Saccharomyces cerevisiae S288C: one gene and its partners. The protein of the gene in region 4 binds, or shares a complex with, the protein of the main gene of each other region. Each region holds a gene or a part of one and is shown on either strand. Other genes may lie near its edges. The genes, in order: DLS1, DPB4, ISW2 and ITC1.

Region 1 (2,812 bases), on a different chromosome or scaffold from region 4:
TTCTAGGGAAAAAAGCAAAGATAAAGAGCAGAATAGCGAGTAATTGAGCGCATGATAGGCACGTGAACTGCTTCAAGTTCATCTTGCTAACTTGGTGAAGTGTGCGTGGTAGATGAACTTATTTCGATATTGTTTATACTTTAACATTTTCCTTTTTTTTCCCAAACTGAGTTTTTCATCATATTCTTAAACTAAAGAGCTGGCTGTTAGAGTAGGACAAAGAGTATAAACAAACAGAATGTATGTATATATCCGTATAAGCATATCTATATATATATATATATACATATACGCAAGTAGGTAAACTATTTACAAAAGAGGAGAGAAGAACAGCGCAAAGCCTATTGATGGAAGACCACAGCGTACCTCCACATTAACGGTCTTTTCATGCCTTCTTCTTGGCTTCGTACTCCTTTTTGAGAGCCTCGAGCTCCTGCGGATCGATGGGTGGAATGGGCACGTCTGCAAAGTCGTTGTCCTTGTGCAGAAAATGATATGTGTAGTAGTAAACAGAGCCCGTGACACCCAGCAGCAGCGTGAGACCGAGCATATTGCCTTTGAAAAAGGGTTTACGGGCCCTGATCATGGCAGGCGTCATCTTCCACGTGCGGGTGTCTTGGTACTTGGACGGATTCAAAACCATACTACTTTGTCGTCTATATATGTGCTTTCGTTGCTGCTCACGTAGTATTGTTGCTTATGCCACCATAGTAAAGACTCCCTTTATACAATGAGCAAAAATCACTGCTTTGTCTGTCACCGCGTACGAGGCGGGAAAAGTTGGTTAACAAGAACAAGTGGGATTTGACAAGCTAAAACAGCTTATAACGGTCAAGAGATTTGGCTACGCCAAGGAGAAAAAACGGTGAGAAGCACAGTCGAGCGCAACAATGACAGTGGGTATTGCTAGGAAACTCTCTAGGGACAAGGCGCATAGGGATGCGCTGCTAAAAAACCTTGCGTGCCAGTTGTTTCAGCATGAATCTATAGTGTCAACGCATGCCAAATGTAAAGAGGCTTCCAGGGTCGCAGAGCGGATCATTACCTGGACAAAGAGGGCAATAACGACAAGTAATAGTGTTGCACAGGCGGAATTAAAGTCCCAAATTCAGAGCCAATTGTTTTTAGCAGGAGACAACAGAAAGTTGATGAAGCGGTTGTTCAGCGAGATCGCACCGCGGTACTTGGAAAGGCCCGGTGGGTACACGCGTGTGCTGCGGTTAGAGCCTAGGGCTAACGACTCAGCGCCGCAATCCGTCTTGGAACTAGTCGACTCTCCCGTGATGTCCGAATCGCATACGGTGAACAGGGGCAATTTAAAGATGTGGCTGTTAGTCAAGTCAGTCATCAACGATGACGCCAACCAGCTACCTCATAACCCACTCACATTGCAGAATCTTCACAAAGTGGCCAAGTTTAAAGCAGAAGCGCAGCTACATGGTGAAATTATGCTCATCAAGCAGGTCTTACTCAAGGAAATGTCCCTTCCCTATGATGAGGCACTCGAAAACGAAAGGACGCAGGCACTTTTGAAGGAGGTCTACTCTTCGTCATTGCCAAAGAAGACGAAGAAACCCTCCTCCTATGTCATGGTTCCCAGACCTTAAAAAAACCAGGATTTTGTGTATTCCCTTGTAAATATATAGATGACAATTGAAAGAACAGCGCTAACAATGTGCGTATTCTAATATAGTGTTTTTTTTTTTTTCCAACTAGAGAAAAAAATGAAAAATGTAAGAGAAACAAAACAGAAGAAACAAGAGAGAATAGCGTCAGGATAGCTCGCTCGATGTGATCAGGCTAACACAATGAACAACGAGACTAGTGGTAAAGAAACGGCGTCTGCACCTCTGTGTTCGCCCAAGTTACCTGTAGAAAAAGTGCAGAGAATAGCCAAGAATGATCCAGAATATATGGACACTTCGGATGACGCATTCGTAGCCACAGCGTTTGCTACAGAATTCTTCGTCCAGGTGCTGACACATGAGTCCCTACATAGGCAACAGCAGCAGCAACAACAACAGGTACCGCCGCTCCCAGATGAACTCACGCTGTCGTACGATGACATCTCTGCCGCAATTGTGCACTCTTCTGACGGCCATCTGCAGTTTTTGAATGATGTGATACCAACAACAAAGAATTTGAGGCTTCTAGTGGAAGAAAACCGAGTTAGATATACTACAAGTGTCATGCCCCCTAATGAAGTTTACTCCGCCTATGTGGTGAACGATACGGCTCCGAAGCCCAACATTGTCGAGATTGATCTTGATAATGACGAAGACGACGACGAAGACGTTACTGATCAAGAATAACTACACAAGCACATTGCATAGAAGGATTTTTCTTCTCTCTCTCACGATCTGTAGAACAACATAGTTTCTTTATACGTTAATTAAGTAAAGGGGAAAAAAAAAATATTAAGCCTTGAATTTAGGAGGTTACAAACGAAAAGGACAAGAAAGACAAAGGAAACCGACAAACCGTTTACTCGATATGGGCTTTTATGAAGGCGATGACAATGATGCCAACACCAAGGCATTTAATGACAAATATATCAAAGATCAAAAGTTCGCAACGGCACCCTTCTGGAACCTCTTTCCAAAGTTAAGGGATATTGATGAATACGATAATCCACTCCTACCACTGCCCTTCAATTTCAACTTCAGAGATCTTGGAGATAGTGCACTTGCCATGGCGTCCGGAATCCCTACGGTGAAGCAGTTTGACAAGTGCGAAGAACTTAAGGGCCAGTCTGCATGGACCACCCAAGGGATTTGGAAATGTCTTGTCCCAAGTAAGGCTATCCCCCCTC
Region 2 (4,222 bases), on a different chromosome or scaffold from region 4:
TGGTGCTGTATACTTCTTTAGTAAGGCAAGAAAAGCATGAGTTTGATAAGAAAAAAAAATTTGCTAAAAATGAGTGTAACACTACCAACATGGCGAGTTTAGTTTGATACTAGGCGCTATACATTATTATTTATATGCCCAGAGGTTACAACAGTGGCTACAATGCAAAAAATATACTGGCTTATATTTTTCATTTGAGATCTGGTTCCTCAAATATATATATATATTTATTTATTTTTTACACATACATACTGCCCTCCTGATTACTTTAAACATCTATATTACAAAAGAGAAGCATTCTTTTCCGTCCATTATACCGTTCTCGGGCGGATCCTTAGTTTCTTACGTTTTAGCTCTAACACTAATCAAAATTCTTATGAAGTGTTGGGACGGGCTTTTGGGCCCCAATTCTTTGTTGGATTTTCCTGATATCTCACAATTTTTAGCTTCCTTAGTTTTTCAATATTACCGCTTTGTTCATTTGGTGCGAACGACAGCTTTGAGTCATACTCTGATTTGACAGTGCCACTCAACCATCCTGGCATTGCCGATAAAATCTTATAGCCCGTAGTATTTGGATTCATTTTGCTTAAGTCTTTCTTCTCATCATCACATTTCTGCATCACATACCAGATTGCATCCCATGGAGCGTTAGTCTTTAGGGACGATGGTTGGGCATGTGTCAATGAACATTCAAAGCCTAGGGAACCTAGGCCTGCGACTACTTTTTTCAAGGGAGGTACTTGTAATTTTATTACCGATGCAATATGGTTAGGACTGAAATAGAATGGCGAATCGGATAATTCATTCTTAGCTAGAGATAGCATACCTTCAATTCTTTTACGTGTTCCATATGTATCATCCTGGTCACGATGCTCTTCTTTATTAATTCTCAACACCTCCTCGATGAACTCCTTGTTGTGTAGAGGTCCTGCATACATTGGACCAGCTAAATGGTATGTCCCCTCGCAGAACTTACATTTAGTATCAACCGGAGGCCCTTGCGCAACCGAGTATTTGGTGAATGTTTTGTTGTTCCTACCTTCGCGTTGAGAAATTCTGCCCAGAGGTTGATTGTGGTAAGAGCCGCAACGGGAACAATGGTAAGTAGTCATAGTACTTGACATAACGTTTTTGACTTCAATCGGGCTTGTTTTGACTTTGACAAAAACTCTGACGTAAAAGTCAATGCTCAACGACAAAAGCGGTTCCACAGTTTTCTTGTATTTCGCGGCAGTTTGCTTTAGTAAGTTCAATACTAGTCTCAGCGCACTTTCGTGAGTTGATTCATGAGAAACCATATTTGCACCACCATATAAGGCAAAACACTTTTCTGGGTATCCGTTACCGGCCAAAACGGATAAATCAGTGCAAGTTACCAGCATTAGACCACCCTCCTCAATACTCTGAATAGCCGCATCTACAAAAGGTGTAACGGTACCGTAAGGATCCAAGTCGATGACGTGAAACTTATTATTCGTCGCTTTGTTACGGTACATTAAGACATTAGCATCATCAAGGTTTGGCTTGACAATGTTTTCGACACTATTATATTCAACGTTTCGTTTTATAGATTCGACAGCCTCTGGAAGTAAATCGTTAGCAATAACTTCCCTCACATGGGGAATTTCATGAGCATACCTAATGGCTCTTAACCCAGTGGCTGACAATGCTTCCAAAATATTTATATAAGGTTCGTTTCGATTAGAATTACCAACGGCTTCTTTTGGTGACCCGTTTCCCATTTTTTGACGCTTGGAAGAATCATCGTTAGTTTCCGCGCACCTTTTCTTCTTACTTTTTTTATTATTTCTCTTTTGGCCACATTCCTCACCATATAGGTTGTCCCACGCCTTGATGCATGTAACACTTAGATCTCTATTAAATTGTTGGATGGGATTATAGAAAACAGTTTCCTTTTTAGGGAAAAGAATTTCTGCTTTTCCTTCCTTGACTATATTGAAATCCTCAATATTGATTCTTGGTGCACCATACGCGGTAAAATTCGCTTTAATTTTGGATATAGCAGCCTTCAACATTCCGTGTAAATTTGCCCGCTTGAGGGGTATCCTGAAGAAACCTTCCATATCTACATTGTAAGAGGAAAGGTATCAACTTATGACTGCTCAGGATCTGTAACTTTGCGATGAGCATTGAATGCGATGAAAAAAAAATAATGCTTTATCCCTTTGGACGAATAAAGAAAGGCTCAAATTGGAATAACGTTAAAAACCAGATTCGATCATCAGAGCTTAAAATTGTTATTCATAGCGGCACAATAGCAGAAGCCACAGAATATTACCTAGAGGTTTTAGGTGAAAGGAAGGATTTTTTTAATTATTTAATACTTTGAAATAGAAGTCAAGCCTTTCATTGCTTATTTATATCAGACCATATATTTTTACACACGATGCCACCAAAAGGTTGGAGAAAAGACGCCCAAGGGAATTACCCCACTACTTCGTATATTAAAGAACAAGAGAACATTACGATTCAGGACCTGTTATTTCCTAAAAGCACTATTGTGAATTTGGCACGCGAAGTGCCACAGCAAAGCGGCAAAAAGCTGCTGATAAATAAAGACGCATCACTAGCGTTACAGCGTGGTGCTACAGTATTTGTTAACCACTTGCTCCTGTTTGCAAGGGAAATTGCAAAGAGTCAAGATAAAAAAAGCTGCAGTGTAGATGATGTTCTGAGTGCTTTGGACCATATAGGACACTCGGCATTGAAGGGTCCGGTTAGAGATAAACTAGATGAATACCAAGCTGCTGTTGAACAGAGGAAGAAGGAAAAACTAGATAGTGGTGAAGTAGATGCTGATGGCGATATAGATATGGGTGAAGATAAGGAGAATGTGCCCGTGGAAAAGGTTAAAGAGCATGACGAAATAGAAGAACAAGGCGATGCATTACAGGACGTAGAAGAGTCCTCCGAAAAGAAACAGAAAACGGAGAGCCAAGATGTAGAAACTAGAGTTCAAAACCTTGAGCAAACGTAACCCCGCTATGGAAACTGTCTAGTAGTGCTTGCCACCACTCCCACAGGATCGTAGTATGTAACTTGCCTTTATTACCTACATACATAATAAGCTATACTCATCGTCGTTATTTGCAAGCCGGGGAACCCAACGCGGCGCCAATGCGGAAGGAAAGAAAGGGGACAAGAAGTTGATATTGGTGGAACGTTAACAAGAAATTATGGCGTTGAGGAAGTGTATTAGCGAGATACGATATCAAGCAGGTTTAGTTAGAGCCACTTTGTGATTTGAAATTTTTTGAGATTTACTTCGTTATTATAAGGACATACGGTAACCTAGGCTAGTTAACATAATTAGTTGTCACCCTTCGCCCCCCTACCCTATCGGTCTTTCATTTTCCAACTATTGATTAGTAAAATTCAAACATCTTTGCTCCGATTAGAGCAACTGAATATACTAGGGATTTTGGGCTATTACGCATTTTTTTTTTCAACTTCTTTTAAACAGGTACAGTTTATTACGATTACTTTTTGCTCACGTAGAATATGGATGATTATCACGTAAATACTGCCTTCTCAATGGGCAGAGGTAACCAGCAGGATGATGGCAATAGTGAAAGCAACAGCATGCATACACAACCAAGCACTATGGCGCCCGCTACGCTGAGAATGATGGGAAAAAGTCCACAGCAGCAGCAGCAGCAGAACACACCGCTAATGCCCCCGGCGGATATCAAATACGCCAATAATGGTAACTCACATCAAGCAGAGCAAAAGGAGAGACAAGTAGAACTTGAAGGTAAATCGAGAGAGAATGCACCAAAGCCAAATACTACCAGCCAGAGTCGAGTTTCGTCTTCTCAGGGCATGCCTAAGCAGTTTCATCGAAAATCGTTAGGAGATTGGGAGTTTGTTGAAACAGTTGGTGCAGGTTCTATGGGTAAAGTGAAGCTGGCAAAACATCGTTACACTAATGAGGTTTGTGCAGTAAAAATTGTAAACCGTGCTACAAAGGCTTTCCTACATAAAGAACAAATGCTGCCACCACCCAAAAATGAACAAGATGTTTTGGAGAGACAGAAGAAATTAGAGAAGGAAATATCTAGGGACAAAAGAACTATTCGAGAAGCGTCCTTGGGACAAATCTTATATCATCCACACATATGTAGACTTTTTGAGATGTGCACGTTGTCAAATCATTTCTATATGTTGTTTGAATATGTTTCAGGTGGTCAGCTGTTAG
Region 3 (7,440 bases), on a different chromosome or scaffold from region 4:
TCATTCGTAGTTTCTCAGATAACTCCCTCATCACCGTATATTCATAAAGATTTCCTTGAAACACCGTAGAATGGGCGACAGCAGCATTTTGTTTCACATATGCTTGAATTGCAGGATTATTGAGCCATCTTCGTCCCAAATAGTTTTTTATCATGTTTTATCATGTTTTACCGTTCTTTACCGTGTTTTATATAGGAAGAAGCTTTAGAAATTTGCTGCAGTATTTCGCTTCCTGGTCGTTAATTTCTATGTATCGATCAACCATGTTGTTTTGCTTTTCAGTTGGCCTCGATAAATAATTTGAAAAAAAAAAAAAAAAAAAAAAAACTAGCAAACCAATGAAGCGGCTTGGCTTACAGGTACATTTTACCTTAGCGCTAAATGATATTGTAAATGTGACTTGCATCTTCTGAAGGAGCACTGTAATGAGTACTGAAAAACTGGAAGCTTCGGAGGAACCACAGGCTCCCTTGGCCAATACATCTGAGACTAACTCAATAAAGGGAGATACAGAAAATATTGTAACCGTGTTTGACCTGGCAAATGAAATAGAAAAATCACTAAAGGATGTTCAGAGGCAAATGAAGGAAAATGATGATGAGTTTTCACGCAGTATACAAGCAATTGAAGACAAGCTTAACAAAATGAGTCGGTGAGAGCAGGTGAGTAGTAACATGGAAACTTCTAATGCTTTTATTCATAAAAAAGAAAACGCGTGCTATCGCGTAACTAGGTTGCAATTAACTACAGATCGTGCCAAATACGTGCTTTTTTATATGGTTTAGAAATATTAATCAACTGAAACTTAATAATATATTCGCATGTTTTTGGAGTCTCTGGGATAGCACTTCACCTATCCTTGGAAACTTGAAATGGAGAAGTTTTAACTAAATGACTTTTTTGGCAATTGCTCTCTTATAATTCAGTACACTGTTGTTAATGTAAGTTTGTAGATAAATACAATATGACAAGTATCAAAGCAGGCTTTAGTTTTCAGCAGTTCAATTATCTTAGAATGGATATGAATTAGTTAAAGCGGCTCGACCCAGTTAGACTTAATTTGTCCTCTTCATTCACCATTTTTGCAGCGATATCACATTTCATTGAAGGGAAAAAGGTGACTGAAATATGATTACCTGTCATTTATCATTATCAAACTTGAAGATAGTGGTCAAGAAGTGGCTACGGTTCATTATATAATGCGGTCTATAAGGCTCGTTAGTTTAATTGTATTCAATGAAAAAGTAATATAAAAAATTATATCTCTCACGTCACTTATTTTAATGCACAATACATGATTCATGCTTCTTGATCAATTTTGGTTCTTTTATCAACATGATCGTTTGTATCTTTTTGATTTGTCACCATCGTCGTCGGGAGATTTGGAACCGTTGAAGCTCTAGTGCTTTCATTTTGGGATAAAGGAGTATCCTCTCTAGTCGCTGAAGTTCTACTCCTTTTCTTCTTATTTGCGTCAGGTTGCTCATACTCTCTTACAATTAAAGTTAATAGCGTATGGACTCTTTTTGATAGCTCATGCACCGTTCTTGTCTTTATAAACCAATCAAAAGTGAACAAATCACTCATCATGATTTCTTGCTTTAATTTTTCATAGAGCTTGTCAGCACGAAGTCCGTACTTGTTAACAGCTAATAATAAAAATTTATCTTCTAAGGTATTGTAAGTTCTTCTAGCATTATTAGGTGGATACTGTATTATCAGCTCATGTAATGGATGTTTACACTGTTCGATTTTCTGCCTCAATAGAGTTTCCTGGAATTTCAGTTTTTCATTTTTTTTTTCACCAAGTTCTACATTATGTAAATACTTCTCCCACCCATTGATTTCCTTTAGTCTTTCCCAGAATATTTTTGCATACACTTCAACCTCTTCTGGTGTTTTGGAATCAATAGATTTCTTAATGTTTTCCATATCATCTCTACCGTATTTGGCGCAGGCGTTGATAAACGCCATAAAGTCCCTCTTATTCCAGTTAGTAAAGGCTTTTGATATCAATTCTTGCTTTCGTAATTCATCTTCTTGGGTAAAATCCGGTGCTGAATTAATCTTCTCTTGCTCCTCCTCAATCCTTCTTTTAAGTTCCTCATGGCCTTTATGACCTTCTGTATTAGCGGCATTTTTGTATTCTCCTTCTTCTTCTTCAGCATCGCTTCCTTCATTACGTATATCTCCCGTAATATCATAAGAAGTAACCTTATAGTTGACCTTTTTCTTGAAGTAAAGCTGTTCCTTTTCTTGTAAGGCATCCAACTCCTTGGGGAAGAACTGGAAATCTTGACCGTGTATAACCTTTGGAGCGCGGGGTGCTTTTGGCTGCGGAGTTTGCTTGCTTGCTGATTTAGAGCCACCACCAATAATTTCCTTATAATAATCGTCAACTGAATAAGTGGTTTGCTCTCTTCTTCTTTCTCTTCGGGAAGGATTAATCCATTCAACTACTTTGTCGTTGGATTTTTTTTGAAAGCTTTTACCATTCCATTCGTAAGCAGATTGGTTCTCGATCCCATTGAACTTTTGTAAGTCGTCAAGTCCTAAACTTTGGTATTTGGCATTTAGTTCTTGTGTCTTCTGTTCCCCCTTTTTCAAAATATCATCGATATCAGCATCAACAGTGACTTTACTTGCTTTCTTTTCAAACATATTTTTAGCGCCAAATTGAATCATATCCAACAGATCATCCTTTGAGTTACCAAGAGATGCAGTTTTCTTGCCCGTGCCCTGTTGGATAACCAACTGGTCTAGTCTCAGCTTTTGTGCGGCACGCTCAATGACTTTCTCTTCAATAGCATTTTCTGTGACAAATCTATAAACATGAACTTGTTTCTTTTGACCAATTCTATGCGCTCTATCCATTGCTTGTAGATCAGCTTGAGGGTTCCAATCAGAATCAAAAAGAATAACAGTGTCGGCTGTGACAAGGTTAATACCTAAACCACCGGCACGTGTTGTTAGCAAAAAAACGAACTTTTCAGAATTAGGTTTATTATACTCATCGATAGCTTCTATACGTTCTTCATGGCTAGTAGAACCGTCGATTCTGCAATATTCAAAATCTCTAAAATAGCAATAATCTTCTAAGATATCCAATAGTCTCGACATTTGACTGAAAATCAATACTCTAGATCCCTTTTCCTTCAGTCTTTTCAGTAACTTATCTAATATAATCATTTTCCCGGAATTGAAAATCAAATGTTCATCGGTAGTGTATGGAGGTCCAGGTTCTGCGCCTTCAAAAAGATATGGATGATTACAGCATTTCCTTAATTGCATAACAATATTCAGTAACCTCGTTTTGCCTTCTCTTTTTCCAACAGCACCGTTAACAGCGTCTATATCCTTCTCTAATAATGATTTATACCATTGTATTTGCATGTCTGTCATCCCCACGTAAACATTCGTTTCGATTTTAGGTAGCAAAGATTTTTCGACATCCGCTTTGACTCTTCTCAGTAAAAAGGGGTTTAGTACTGAGTGTAGCTGTTGGATTACAATTTCTTGATCTTGTTCCGAATTGTTTTGTTCGAACCATTCATCAAAAAGTTCAGAATCTCCAAATATATCAGGTAATAAGAAATTTAGCAGGGCCCATAATTCGTGTAGATTGTTTTGTAGAGGCGTGCCCGTAATCAATAATCTATTCTTAGAGTAAAATAATCTAATTATTTGAGATAACGCGCTTTGTTCATTTTTGATCCTGTGAGCCTCATCAATAACAATATATTGCCAAGCTAATCTTTTCAAAGCATTCTTTTCTCTAATGACCATTTCATAAGATGTAATCAATACATCAAATCTAGCTTCTAATATTATATTCCGTACTATATCAGCTCTTGTGTCTTTATCACCATGTAACACAAGGACATTGACGTTTGGAGTCCATTTAAGAAACTCTCGTCTCCAATTATCTAGTGTTGACTTCGGTACTATTATTAGAAAGGGTCCCTCGATTTGTTTGACGTATCTCAAATAACCTAGGAATGAAATTGTTTGTAAGGTTTTACCCAGCCCCATTTCATCGGCCAAGATACCAGATAGTTTGTTTTCGTGCAACGATATTAACCAGTTTAAGCCTTGAACTTGATAGTCTCTTAATTTTCCTGACTTGACGAAGGAGGGAGATTCTGAGACGAATATGTCTTCCTGATATGTATCTACAATCTCTTCTTCCTCATCAGCCATTAATTCAGCATCTTCCTCCTTTTCTGTTTTTCTATGGTGACGTGATGACGAACTGACGGTGCTGTGTGATTTGGAAAGTTTGTTTGCATCAGAATCTAACTGTTTTAAGAGTTTTTGAATATTTTTATCATGTTTTGCCTTAATTCCAATAAAATGACGGAAAAGGTCTGTGACGCCTAATAAATATTTGAATCTTTTGTACGTATCGGACTTGTCCTTTTGCTTGGCGTATTTTGGATCTACATCAAGTACGAATTTTTTCTTTCTTTGAGCCCAATATTCTGGTGGTCTATCTTCTACTGTATATATTTCTTTATCTGATAGCTCTTCACTTTGTCCGATATTATCATCATCACTACTGCCATTTGACTTTGAGTCGAGAGTATCGACTAAAACTTCTGAAGGTGACTCGCTTTTGCTATTCTTGGTATCACTTCGTTGCTCCTCTTGCTGGGTCGTCATGATCTGATTGTAAGTTTTCCTTTTGTTACGACTTAAACCAACAAGACGGGTATTATTGGAAAGTAAATAAAACAAACCACAAAGAAAGAAAACCGTTTGCACAAACTCCTTGAGTTATGCAAATATACTTATCAAAATTTAACTGAAGCTGAAAATTTTTGAGTCTGCTTTATTTGATTTTTTTTTTAGGATGGCAGGATGAAATTAGAGCCATTGTACGTACGTTACGTTTTTTTGTTCATTTAATTACAAGAAGCGCCCGTTAATTATGACAACTGCGAGTAGATACTAAGCAACGACGAGTAGCGCAAAATACCATGAACTGAATTGAATCGTATTTAGATGTACGTATGTGTTACGTAATGTATAAATTTTGTTTTTAGAACAACACTCTTTCCTTGGCCAACTTAGTAACATTTATACTCTGCAATCTCGATTTATCGGTACTGTATGTTACTTTTAGTGAGATTGAACTTTTTGCCTGAGATTGTAATTGGTATTTTTCTATATTATCGAAGAATTTGTCAAAAAGAATAGCTGTGTCTAAGGGACCACCTTTTGCCTCTGGGTGAAATTGGGTAGAAAATATGGGTCTTTGAAGGTGTATCATGCCTTCGTTTGATTTGTCGTTTAAATTAACAAAATAAGGTTTCCATTGGTCCTTTGGTAGGGTCTCAGGATCAACTGCATAGCCATGATTTTGAGATGTAATGTGGCACTGGCCGGTAGTCAAATCCATGGCAGGGATGTTGTGAGCCCTATTACCATATTTCAATTTGTGAGTAGAGGCACCGGAGGCCAGAGCCAAGAGTTGATGGCCTAGACAAATCCCAAAAATAGGGATACAGTCATAAACAGGGTTATTTAGTAATTCCCTGACGTTGGAAATTGTAGCTTGGCATAGTTCTGGGTTGCCTGGTCCATTGGATAAGAAAATACCGTCGAATTCAGAAGCAACATCTTGAATTCTGTAATCATAGGGGAAAACAGTTACATTGGCACCTCTTTTGACTAGGCATCTGATAATGTTTTCTTTAACACCACAGTCAATAAGAGCCACATTTGCCTTAGCCTTCCCAGGTAAGGCAGAGACGTGGAAAGGCTTTTTTGTGGTGACTTGAGCAACCAAGTTAGTTTTCATGGGATTCACGTAGGGGACAGGGTCATGATCAGCCAACGTAATACGGCCCAAAGAAGAACCTTGTTCCCTCAAGTATTGCACTAGTTCACGGGTGTCTACGCCAGTAATAGCAGCAACACCTTCTCTCTGACACCATTGTGCCAGAGATTCAACAGCGGTCCAATGCGAATATTGATAAGCATATTCAGCGACAACGATGCCGACCACATGTATATGCGGAGATTCAAAATACTTCAGTAAATTGTATTCATCGCGGGCTTCGCCGGATGGGACACCGTAGTTACCAATCAAGGGTTGCGTGAAGACTAATATCTGACCACGGTAGGAAGGATCAGTCATGGACTCTGGGTAACCAACCAGAGAAGTAGTGAAAACTGTTTCACCAGCAACAGATTTGTTTGCACCAAAAGATATACCTTCAAAGGAAGGACCATTTTGGATACAGAAAGTAGCTTTTGTTGCAGCGGAGGACATTTGAAATATTTTTAGGAGTGGTTTGTGATAGAATTTCTGATTATTAAGCAATGAAATTAGTGGGAGCTAGTTTTCCAGATGTGGTCAGATATGTAGTCTTGGCAGGTGTATTGAGAGTTCGATAAGCTAAACATATAATGTTTTTTTTATTTCAAATCTGCAAAAAGGGTATGTAGAAGAGTCGATTACCTTGTATTCTTTGCAGTATTTAAACAATTAGATGTTCGAGTGTATCTATGTGTTATAGTTCTGAAGAAAAAAAAAAAAAAAAAAAAGAAAAAGAAACGACGAGTCAAGAAAAGAAAAGAAAAAGGAGGGGCATGAAAAAAGAAATTGACCGAATAATCTAATGAACGTTGGATAGTTAAGTGTCTTACGAGAGAGCCTTATATATCATGTCATCGCCTTTTTTTTCCGCGAGAGGTGATAAGTGAAATCGCAACTATTTACTCATCATGAGGTAATGCGATGCGATGATGAGTCAAACACCCTTCCACGGGAAGCGCCAGCCGGCGCCCTCGGTAAAGCCTGCACTTAACGGCCCCTCGCTGTTTCTTGTACTTAGCGTCACGCGCTATGGAAATATGCGGTGCACAGGTGTTTTTATAGGGGGGTGATGGATTACATCATACACGACGGCCGGGAACACAGCTGAAAATAACTGTGAATGCGGCAGTGGCACCCACTACGAGAAGCAGACACCACAGTCCACGCTTACGTAGAAGCTGCCGAGTAAATGGGTGCTCTATGCGGGTAAGACGGCGCCTACCGCCGAACACCGCAAGTATCATTGGCACGTGATCGGTATCACTAGAAGCATCTCCTTCGTCATTGCCAGCGTTTTTGTGTCTGTGGAGAAGTCTCTGTGTGACGCCAAACCAGGAATACACAATGTCCACTTGATACATGCCACACACAATGCAGTAGCATCCCAGTGTAAATGGCACGACCGTAACGACACGGATTGCGCGACTATACGCCAGGAAGATTAGAACATATCCGATCCAAAAGCCGATGCCTAGCCAGAGCAAACCAAAGCCAATACGACTGATTGACGTGTGATTGGAGAATGGCGAGCGAGAAATGTGCGTCTGGCCTCGAGAGCGATTGCTTTTTTCGTTGGTGACGCCCACTGAGTGGAATCTCCAATCAGATATTTCATC
Region 4 (7,683 bases):
TACAACGCTTTCATTGCTTCCGAAGTTTTGATCAAGCAAGTTCCAAGACTATTGGGTCCTCAATTGTCCAAGGCTGGTAAGTTCCCAACCCCAGTTTCTCACAACGATGACTTGTACGGTAAGGTCACTGATGTCAGATCTACCATCAAGTTCCAATTGAAGAAGGTCTTGTGTTTGGCTGTTGCCGTTGGTAACGTTGAAATGGAAGAAGACGTTTTGGTTAACCAAATCTTGATGTCTGTTAACTTCTTTGTTTCTTTGTTGAAGAAGAACTGGCAAAATGTTGGTTCCTTGGTTGTTAAGTCCTCCATGGGTCCAGCTTTCAGATTGTACTAATCACTTCCGAGCGATTAATACATATCTCCATCTTTTTAAATACCTTTTTTAATACGTATGACTCTAAGTAGTAAAAGTATTATGCATAGTTTTAGCCAGATATTTTTGGGCCCGGAATATATCTTTTCGGGAAGCTCGGAGTATATTGCACCGATCCGATTCTTACTCCATATCATGCCATTTTTCTTTCCTTTCTCAGCGATGTTTTGTAGGAAATCACTTAGAACTTGCCTTACTTTAAAAGCATGTTGAGTGAATTTCACAGATCGATATGCTTTGGTGTTCAATCAGTTCAACCATACCTGCTATTATATAATCTTCGACTCGCATAATATAGGTATTCCATGCGCAAATAGATTACTTGCAAAATGGACATGACTAAAAACCACACCACTGACACAGAGGAGTTTGATGATGGTGATATACGTCCAGTCAGTTTGGGAATTGTGGACGATTATAACGCTTCGTTCGAATTACCTTTGAAACCAAAGTTTTTACAGAGTGAGAATTTCTCAGATTTAACAAGTGAATGGGACCAGTCTAGATCAAATACGCCTGGTCTTGCAGAAGGCAAGACTGAGAAAGCACAGCCATGCGGTACAACAGATAGTTCAAAAAATAGAATACATGTAGAGCAACTGTTGGAATCCGCTAATGAAATGAATAATTATTTGGCGCAGAATATAGAGAACATAAACAATTTTCAGGTGGGGCTATTGAATGGAGGGAAAGGATTATATAGTTCCATGGGTGATGATTCGAGCGCGTGTATTAATGGCACTAATTTTAGCTCAACGTCCAATTTTGAACTAAGTGATGATGAGCTAGAGGATACCACGGGTTGCACAAGTTCTATTTTTGATAAAGATCTTTTCCATCAACAAAACGGGCTAAGCATACCTCGCCGTAGATCACCACTCTTCAAATCTCCAACTGCCAGTTTCGAAATTGGCGATGCTACGGATGTGGAGGAGCAAGATATTGATGACTCCATTTTTTCTGAATGTAGCAGCATTACAAGCTTTGATATGGGAGGGTTGCATATCAGTCTACCACACGATGAAGAAGAAGATCAAGAAAAAACTAAGTCCGAAAGTGAAAACCCGTTGCTACATGGCATACCGGTTGATGTAGAAGTGCCCCACATATCGGTTGATGAAGCTCTGGCGAATTTCAAGGAAACCATAGAACTACTACTAAAACTTAGTGGCAATAGAAAGTGTACCGGTTTCAATACTAGAGTGGAGAAAAAAGAATACTCGAATTTCTACATGAAAAGTAAACCCACCTTATCATCAGCAGATTTTCTCAAGAGAATCCAAGACAAATGTGAGTACCAGCCAACTGTTTACCTTGTGGCAACATTTTTAATTGACACGTTGTTTTTAACAAGGGATGGCAATAACATTTTGCAGTTGAAGTTAAACTTACAGGAAAAGGAGGTCCATCGAATGATAATAGCAGCGGTTAGATTGAGCACGAAATTATTGGAAGATTTCGTTCACTCACATGAATATTTTAGTAAAGTATGCGGTATTTCGAAACGGCTTTTGACTAAATTAGAAGTCAGTCTATTGATCTGTGTGTGCAATACTAAATTAATGGTCAGTAACAGGAAATTAGCCGCCTCCAAATTACTTTTGAATGAACTACGGTCCTTCTGTGTATAGTTGATACAAGTATTTTAGATAATTATTTTAACGAACGTAACGAATGCTTTCCAGTCAATAGCGGCACTGGTAATATGATACAAACAATTTCTCAATAAAACAACGACAAACTTAGTCTGTTTATATTTCCGTGCAATGGTGGAAACCTGTACTCGATATTGGAGAAAACTTCAGAGCTTCCCAACAGTTATCCCGGATTCTTAATTGATGCTCTCGAAACGCACATAAAAATGTGATTTTTTTACTCGCATTAAATTACTGTTGAATCTATGGTTCAAACAAATGTATATTTGCCTACACATCTTTCTCTGTCCCTTCTGTATTGTCTAACCTTAAAATAGAAATATTTCATGGTTTTATTTCTTTTAAGTTTATTATCCATTTTTAACGTGGTGAGAAAACCCGAAATGAAAAATAATAAAGGAAAATTATAGAGGAAAAAAAGTGTAGAAATAGAAAAAAAATAAAAAGGATAATACCGATCAGAAAAATCCTCTTTCTTGCTCTTCTTCTTTTCTTTGTATTTCTCCTGAAAAAATTCAGAAAAACATATATTGGGTTAAATACATAACTATTTAAAAGGCTGTAAACAATTCAACTGACATTAGATACATCACACTCAATTACTGTTGGAAATAGGCAGATATATCCAGATTTTTACAATTACTATAGCACTTCCATTGAAGATATATAAAAAAAGAAAATAACAATAGGAGGAAGTAAAGAAAGCCGTTAATAAACAATGGTGTTATATAAAAGGAAACCTATATTACTTCCTGATCCAAAACCTTTACCATTGGATTTGAATGTACAAGTATGGCATATTGAAGAGACTGGAGAATGGTTTTCTAGTTACGAAGAATTTTTAGAAAGGTTTGATTTCTACACACGCCACCATTTTACATGCGAAATCACTGGTACTTCTTGCCTGACTTTTTTCCAAGCTCTGGATAGTGAGGAGACACAATTCAAATACGTCGAAGACAGATTCCCATTAAAGTTGAGAGAACCAGTTGCAAGATTTTTACATTTTAACGGAATAAGAAGGTTAGATGCATTGGTGGAGAAAGTTTACGCAAGATTTAAAAATGACTTTTTCCCAGGAGAAGTTGTTTATCTACGTAAACAGAAAGACTCTTCTACCACAAGCTCTAATTCCCAACAAAGTACTCCTCAACCTGATGATATGGTCGAAATCAACAGTGTTGGTAATCCTGGCTTACCGCAGTACCAATACCAAAGACGTTATGTTATCAAAGAAAAGGTCCAATTTAACGCAACGATAAATCCAGAGAGCAGGGAAATTGTGATGCCCGCTCATACTAAATACATGCTGATAGAAGAAGCAGCTTCCAGTAATAAATCCTTCATTGTTGATCAAGGACAAATTTACAGGGACCGTTCCACTTTCACTAAGCACTTAATCAAATGTTTTTTCAAGATTACTTTACAGAGGGCATCTTCGAAAATGGGTGCACCTTGGTGTGTCAAACCGGAATATTTAGCGATGTATGGTTTAACGATGGAATGGCCAAAAGATATGTTAAAATATAAAGAAGATGAACCTGTCGTAGCAAGACGTTCCAACAGTGCCAATGTTTCATCCCCAGAAAGTGAAAAGAATAAACGTCAAAGTAAATCATCGGGTAAAAGTAACACCTCAAACGATGCTTCTAACAAAAAAGAAACCAAGAAAAAAAGAAAGCCAACCGAAGTAAATGATTCTGAGAATAATTCTTCGGAAGAAGACAAGAAGAAGGGTCAAAATGTCACATCAGAAACACATTCTAAAAAAAGGAAAAAGGAAGCCAATGAGGAACCGAACACGGAAAACGTCGAAAGCGTTCCTACACCAGCTAATGCGGAGCCTCAGGCTGTAACAATAACGAGCATAATGGATGACCTAGCTTTGCCATATCAACATCCACCGAACATCTTTCCAAACTTAACGTATTATAATGAAAAATTAGAATGTATTTCATTAGGTTCTACAAAACTTTCCAGACCTTTTGATTCTTTTGGAAAGCTATTACAAGCCTATCAGTTTCTGAATACGTTTGGTTCGAAAATTTGTCTCTCTCATTTTAGCCTTGACCAATTCATTACTTCTTTGAAATGTACAGACCCATATGAGTTAAAGGGCGAAGTTGTTTTAGTGAACATAAGAACGCAAACGTCTAAAGAACAAGAAATTGAAAATAACGGCCTGCCGATGAAAAACAAAGCAGAGACTACTACTGAGGAAGACTCTGAAAACCCAAGTGACTGGCAAAGAAATTCATTTATTCGTGATATGATAATGAAAAGAAATTCCGACAAGGTTGAGTACAAGATTGTTCACGATGACCCAGCATCCGATGATATACTTGATAATATCAATCATAATGGGTCTGCTCTTCTCATTGAAGTTTTTACTGCGCTCTTACGTTTGTTCATCAACGAAGAAGGCGATTGGAGTTGCATCGTCGTTGAAAACTGGATAATAGACGACAAGGGAGTCCTTATGGAGAGAAAAGATGAAAGAGGGGAGGGGGAGGCGAAGCAAAAACGAAATGCTCACGGATACTTTTTACAAGATAAGGAAAAGATCGACAACCTAAAGGACACATTAAAGGAAAACGCAACAGAAGTTCAAAAAGAATCAGACGCTAAAAACGAAACAAATTCAGAATCTGATTCTAAATCTGATTCTGACAGTGAAGAACGAGATCCTAAATTAGAAAAGTGTTTGAACTACCGCAATGTTAACTGGATAGAACGCTTGACGAAAAGGCAATTTAATAACAGTTACTGGCTAATAATTTTACTGGGAGTCTTAGAAGATTGTAGACATCTTCCCATGTATACAGAGTTTATTGATTCTTTCATAGAAAAGATCATACCCAAAGATATATCAGCTACTCAATTGCCCAAACAGCTTTGGAGAAATTTCTGTCGAAAGCTGTCGTTCAGTGACAAAGTCAATGCGCTGTGGATACTTGTAGATCTCGTATCGCATTTTTCTCCAGATATCAAAGCTGCTGTAGATGATTCCATGGAACTATGTGGTCAAATTCGTAGCGAAAGATTCAAAGTTGCGAGAGAGTTGAAAACGGAGGCAGCCGTCTTAAGTAATCTTCAAGGCGACCTGCAGGCAATTCAAGAGAAGTTAAATAAAACAGATGAAAACACACCATCAGCCGATGGTGCCGATAAAAAAGATGATTCCGAATCAAATAGTGAACCAATTGATCTTATTATCATTGAGAAAAAGCAAAAGTTAATTGAAGAGCAGGATAAAAAGGTACAAGCTTTACAATCAGATAAAAATTTCCTCGATAATTGTCTATTTGAAAACGATCTACAAAGATTAAAGCCGTTGGGATTGGATCGATACGGGAACAGGTATTTTTGGCTGGATCACAATGGTGTTCCATTTCCTCAATATCCTGCTGGTATGAATGAGACGCCGAAAAGTAACAATAGTTTGAGTTATCACTCCGGTCGTTTATTAATTCAGGGACCTAAAGCATCATCGGCGAAATTCTTTTTGAACGTCAGTGATGAGCAATTGAGCAATTGGCAAAAAATCAGAAATTCCGAAGGAATATCCGAGGCAACTAGGGAAGTATTTGGTATCTCCAAAACTAGTTCCGGATCTTATAATTACGTAGAAAATGGAATAGAGGTCGAACTATTGGACAGTAATGATCGCGTAAACCCACTTATAGAGCTGACACCTATTCAAAAGAAAATTATGGATGAAACACCTTCAAGGTTGCTACTATCACCAGATCAATGGTATTGCATTGACAAGTTAGAGGACTTGTCAAGAATAATGGACTGGTTAGATAATTGGGGTCGCAAAGAGCATGATCTCTTGAGGCAAATCAGACCCATAATGGAACGAATTAAAAGTTCCCTTAGCTTGCGCGACCATGCGCTGTCACTGACAGCATTCACCAAAAATGAAGAAAAGTTGCTAAAGGAGTTAGAAAATAATGAATTTACCGAAAACGAATTGAACGTTGATAGTATGGATGTTGATGATAAAAATAGCGGTGTTAAAAGTGAGGTTGATGTACAGGTTGATGCCGAAGAGAAGAGAGAAGCTGTGATAGACGAAAAGTTGGAGGTGATTGCAGACGAACTCATGAAGCTAGATGATAGCTCGAAAACACGCAATGTTCTTAATAGAATACAAGAATTAGAAGATCAGAGAGATGAACTCTTGGAACAGAAAAAATCCATAATAAATTCGCAGAGGCCAGGCGCGAGGATTTTAGCCCGTTCAGAAAGGAAAAGAACCAAAATCTCCCGTGGTAATAAGGTGAATAAGCAGATTGAAATATTGACTGACTTAGTCAATTATAGACATTTTAAAGCTATGGAAGATGTGATAGCTTGGAAAAACGTTTTAGCAAATTCGATATGGGGTTCCTCACTTCGCAAAAATGCATCTGGTAATAAAAGGAGTGGTGTCATTGAAACAGTAGACGATAAATTAAAAGATATAGTGGGCCAAACCTCAAGAACAGTAACACCTGCCCCAAATTAATATATAAAAAACTTCCTTTGTAACTGATGGTAAATTGTAGTATTCATAAATAGGATAAGATTATTCATTGTAAGCATAATGGAAAAAAATAACACAACAAAGCCGCGCAAGATTGGACCATACTTTCTATCTAAGGTAACTATCACTTACTGGCTTGATGGATGCGTATTTTTGTCGGTACCAGCTTCTGAAATATCGATATCAAACATAGCTGGCTCAATTCCTTCCATCAATTGCTGGGTAATTTCGACTGGTAAACCGTTATCGTTAGAGATATTAGCAGATGCGCTATCAAAATCGAGTTCTTGGGCACCTGATCTCAAATTGCAAGAATGGCAAATAATATCTTCATACCAGTATAAACTTTTGTTTGTACCACAATGTGGGCAAGTCCTTTCGAAAGGAAGTACGTAAATTTTGGGTTTAATAGCAGAGTCGTGTGAGTTTCCTGGCATTTCGCCGTGTCGCAGTCTAAGCTGTTCAAAATATCTCAACTCCACTAGACTATGGTCAGATTCGCACTTATAATATCTGCAGTATTGTTCTATGTATGACAGAGTATGTTGAGGCTTGTACGATAATGGATAAAGTTCGTTTCCTTCTAAGCTGATATCGTGTCTATCGCATATTAGTATAGGTCTCAAAGTGTATGTATCGTTAAGCTTGACATCCTTTATGCACGGTAGAGTGGTGTCTACAGACATATTTTTCTTTTCAAACATAAGCTTAAAATTGGAGCTGTTCTGTGCACATGTAATATGATACCTATATTGGCATTTGTTACACTTCACTAACCCACCTCCATTTATCCTGCACACACCACATGTAAATCTACTATGTTTAATAAGCACAGCAGTGGTATTAAGGGCAGGTTGCATTGATTGTCCGTTTCCATATTTGATATCTTCATTGAAAAGTGAGCAAACCAAATGCACCCATGTCCCTAAGCTCGTGCATTTCAATGCGTCTGGACATATTTTAAATGATTGGCTCCTATATCTATCATAGTCATAGTCCTTCGTAGGACACATACTACATTGGTAGGTCGTTGATATTATAGGATTGAGGTCATTTGAACAAGGGTCACATAACCATTTAAATGTCTTAAGGTTAGTGTTTTTCTTCATATCTTTCGGCAGT

The links.
Region 1: ITC1 (region 4) and DLS1 share a complex: the UniProt entries of both Saccharomyces cerevisiae proteins name them as parts of the ISW2 complex.
Region 2: ITC1 (region 4) and DPB4 share a complex: the UniProt entries of both Saccharomyces cerevisiae proteins name them as parts of the ISW2 complex.
Region 3: ITC1 (region 4) and ISW2 share a complex: the UniProt entries of both Saccharomyces cerevisiae proteins name them as parts of the ISW2 complex.

What each region holds. Positions count from the first base shown.
Region 1 is NC_001142.9:314,554-317,365, reverse strand, and holds DLS1 (Dls1p), read left to right. Parts: upstream 1-1,808; coding exon 1,809-2,312; downstream 2,313-2,812. Other genes in the region: mannose-ethanolamine phosphotransferase LAS21, read right to left, coding at 1-82; COA3 (Coa3p), read right to left, coding at 386-643; mitochondrial 54S ribosomal protein bL17m MRPL8, read left to right, coding at 891-1,607; MPM1 (Mpm1p), read left to right, coding at 2,494-2,812. UniProt on the Saccharomyces cerevisiae protein: Functions as a component of the ISW2 complex, which acts in remodeling the chromatin by catalyzing an ATP-dependent alteration in the structure of nucleosomal DNA.
Region 2 is NC_001136.10:691,175-695,396, forward strand, and holds DPB4 (DNA polymerase epsilon noncatalytic subunit), read left to right. Parts: upstream 1-2,410; coding exon 2,411-3,001; downstream 3,002-4,222. Other genes in the region: COX26 (Cox26p), read left to right, coding at 1-40; TRM1 (tRNA (guanine26-N2)-dimethyltransferase), read right to left, coding at 375-2,087; serine/threonine protein kinase KIN1, read left to right, coding at 3,526-4,222. UniProt on the Saccharomyces cerevisiae protein: As accessory component of the DNA polymerase epsilon (DNA polymerase II) participates in chromosomal DNA replication.
Region 3 is NC_001147.6:881,736-889,175, reverse strand, and holds ISW2 (DNA translocase), read right to left. Parts: upstream 4,663-7,440; coding exon 1,300-4,662; downstream 1-1,299. Other genes in the region: RRG7 (Rrg7p), read right to left, coding at 1-154; BIL1 (Bil1p), read left to right, coding at 426-656; carbamoyl-phosphate synthase (glutamine-hydrolyzing) CPA1, read right to left, coding at 5,042-6,277; YOR302W (uncharacterized protein), read right to left, coding at 6,334-6,411; RAX1 (Rax1p), read right to left, coding at 6,904-7,440. UniProt on the Saccharomyces cerevisiae protein: Catalytic component of the ISW2 complex, which acts in remodeling the chromatin by catalyzing an ATP-dependent alteration in the structure of nucleosomal DNA.
Region 4 is NC_001139.9:254,959-262,641, forward strand, and holds ITC1 (Itc1p), read left to right. Parts: upstream 1-2,748; coding exon 2,749-6,543; downstream 6,544-7,683. Other genes in the region: 60S ribosomal protein uL1 RPL1B, read left to right, coding at 1-336; PCL10 (Pcl10p), read left to right, coding at 705-2,006; DNA-binding E3 ubiquitin-protein ligase SNT2, read right to left, coding at 6,690-7,683. UniProt on the Saccharomyces cerevisiae protein: Functions as a component of the ISW2 complex, which acts in remodeling the chromatin by catalyzing an ATP-dependent alteration in the structure of nucleosomal DNA.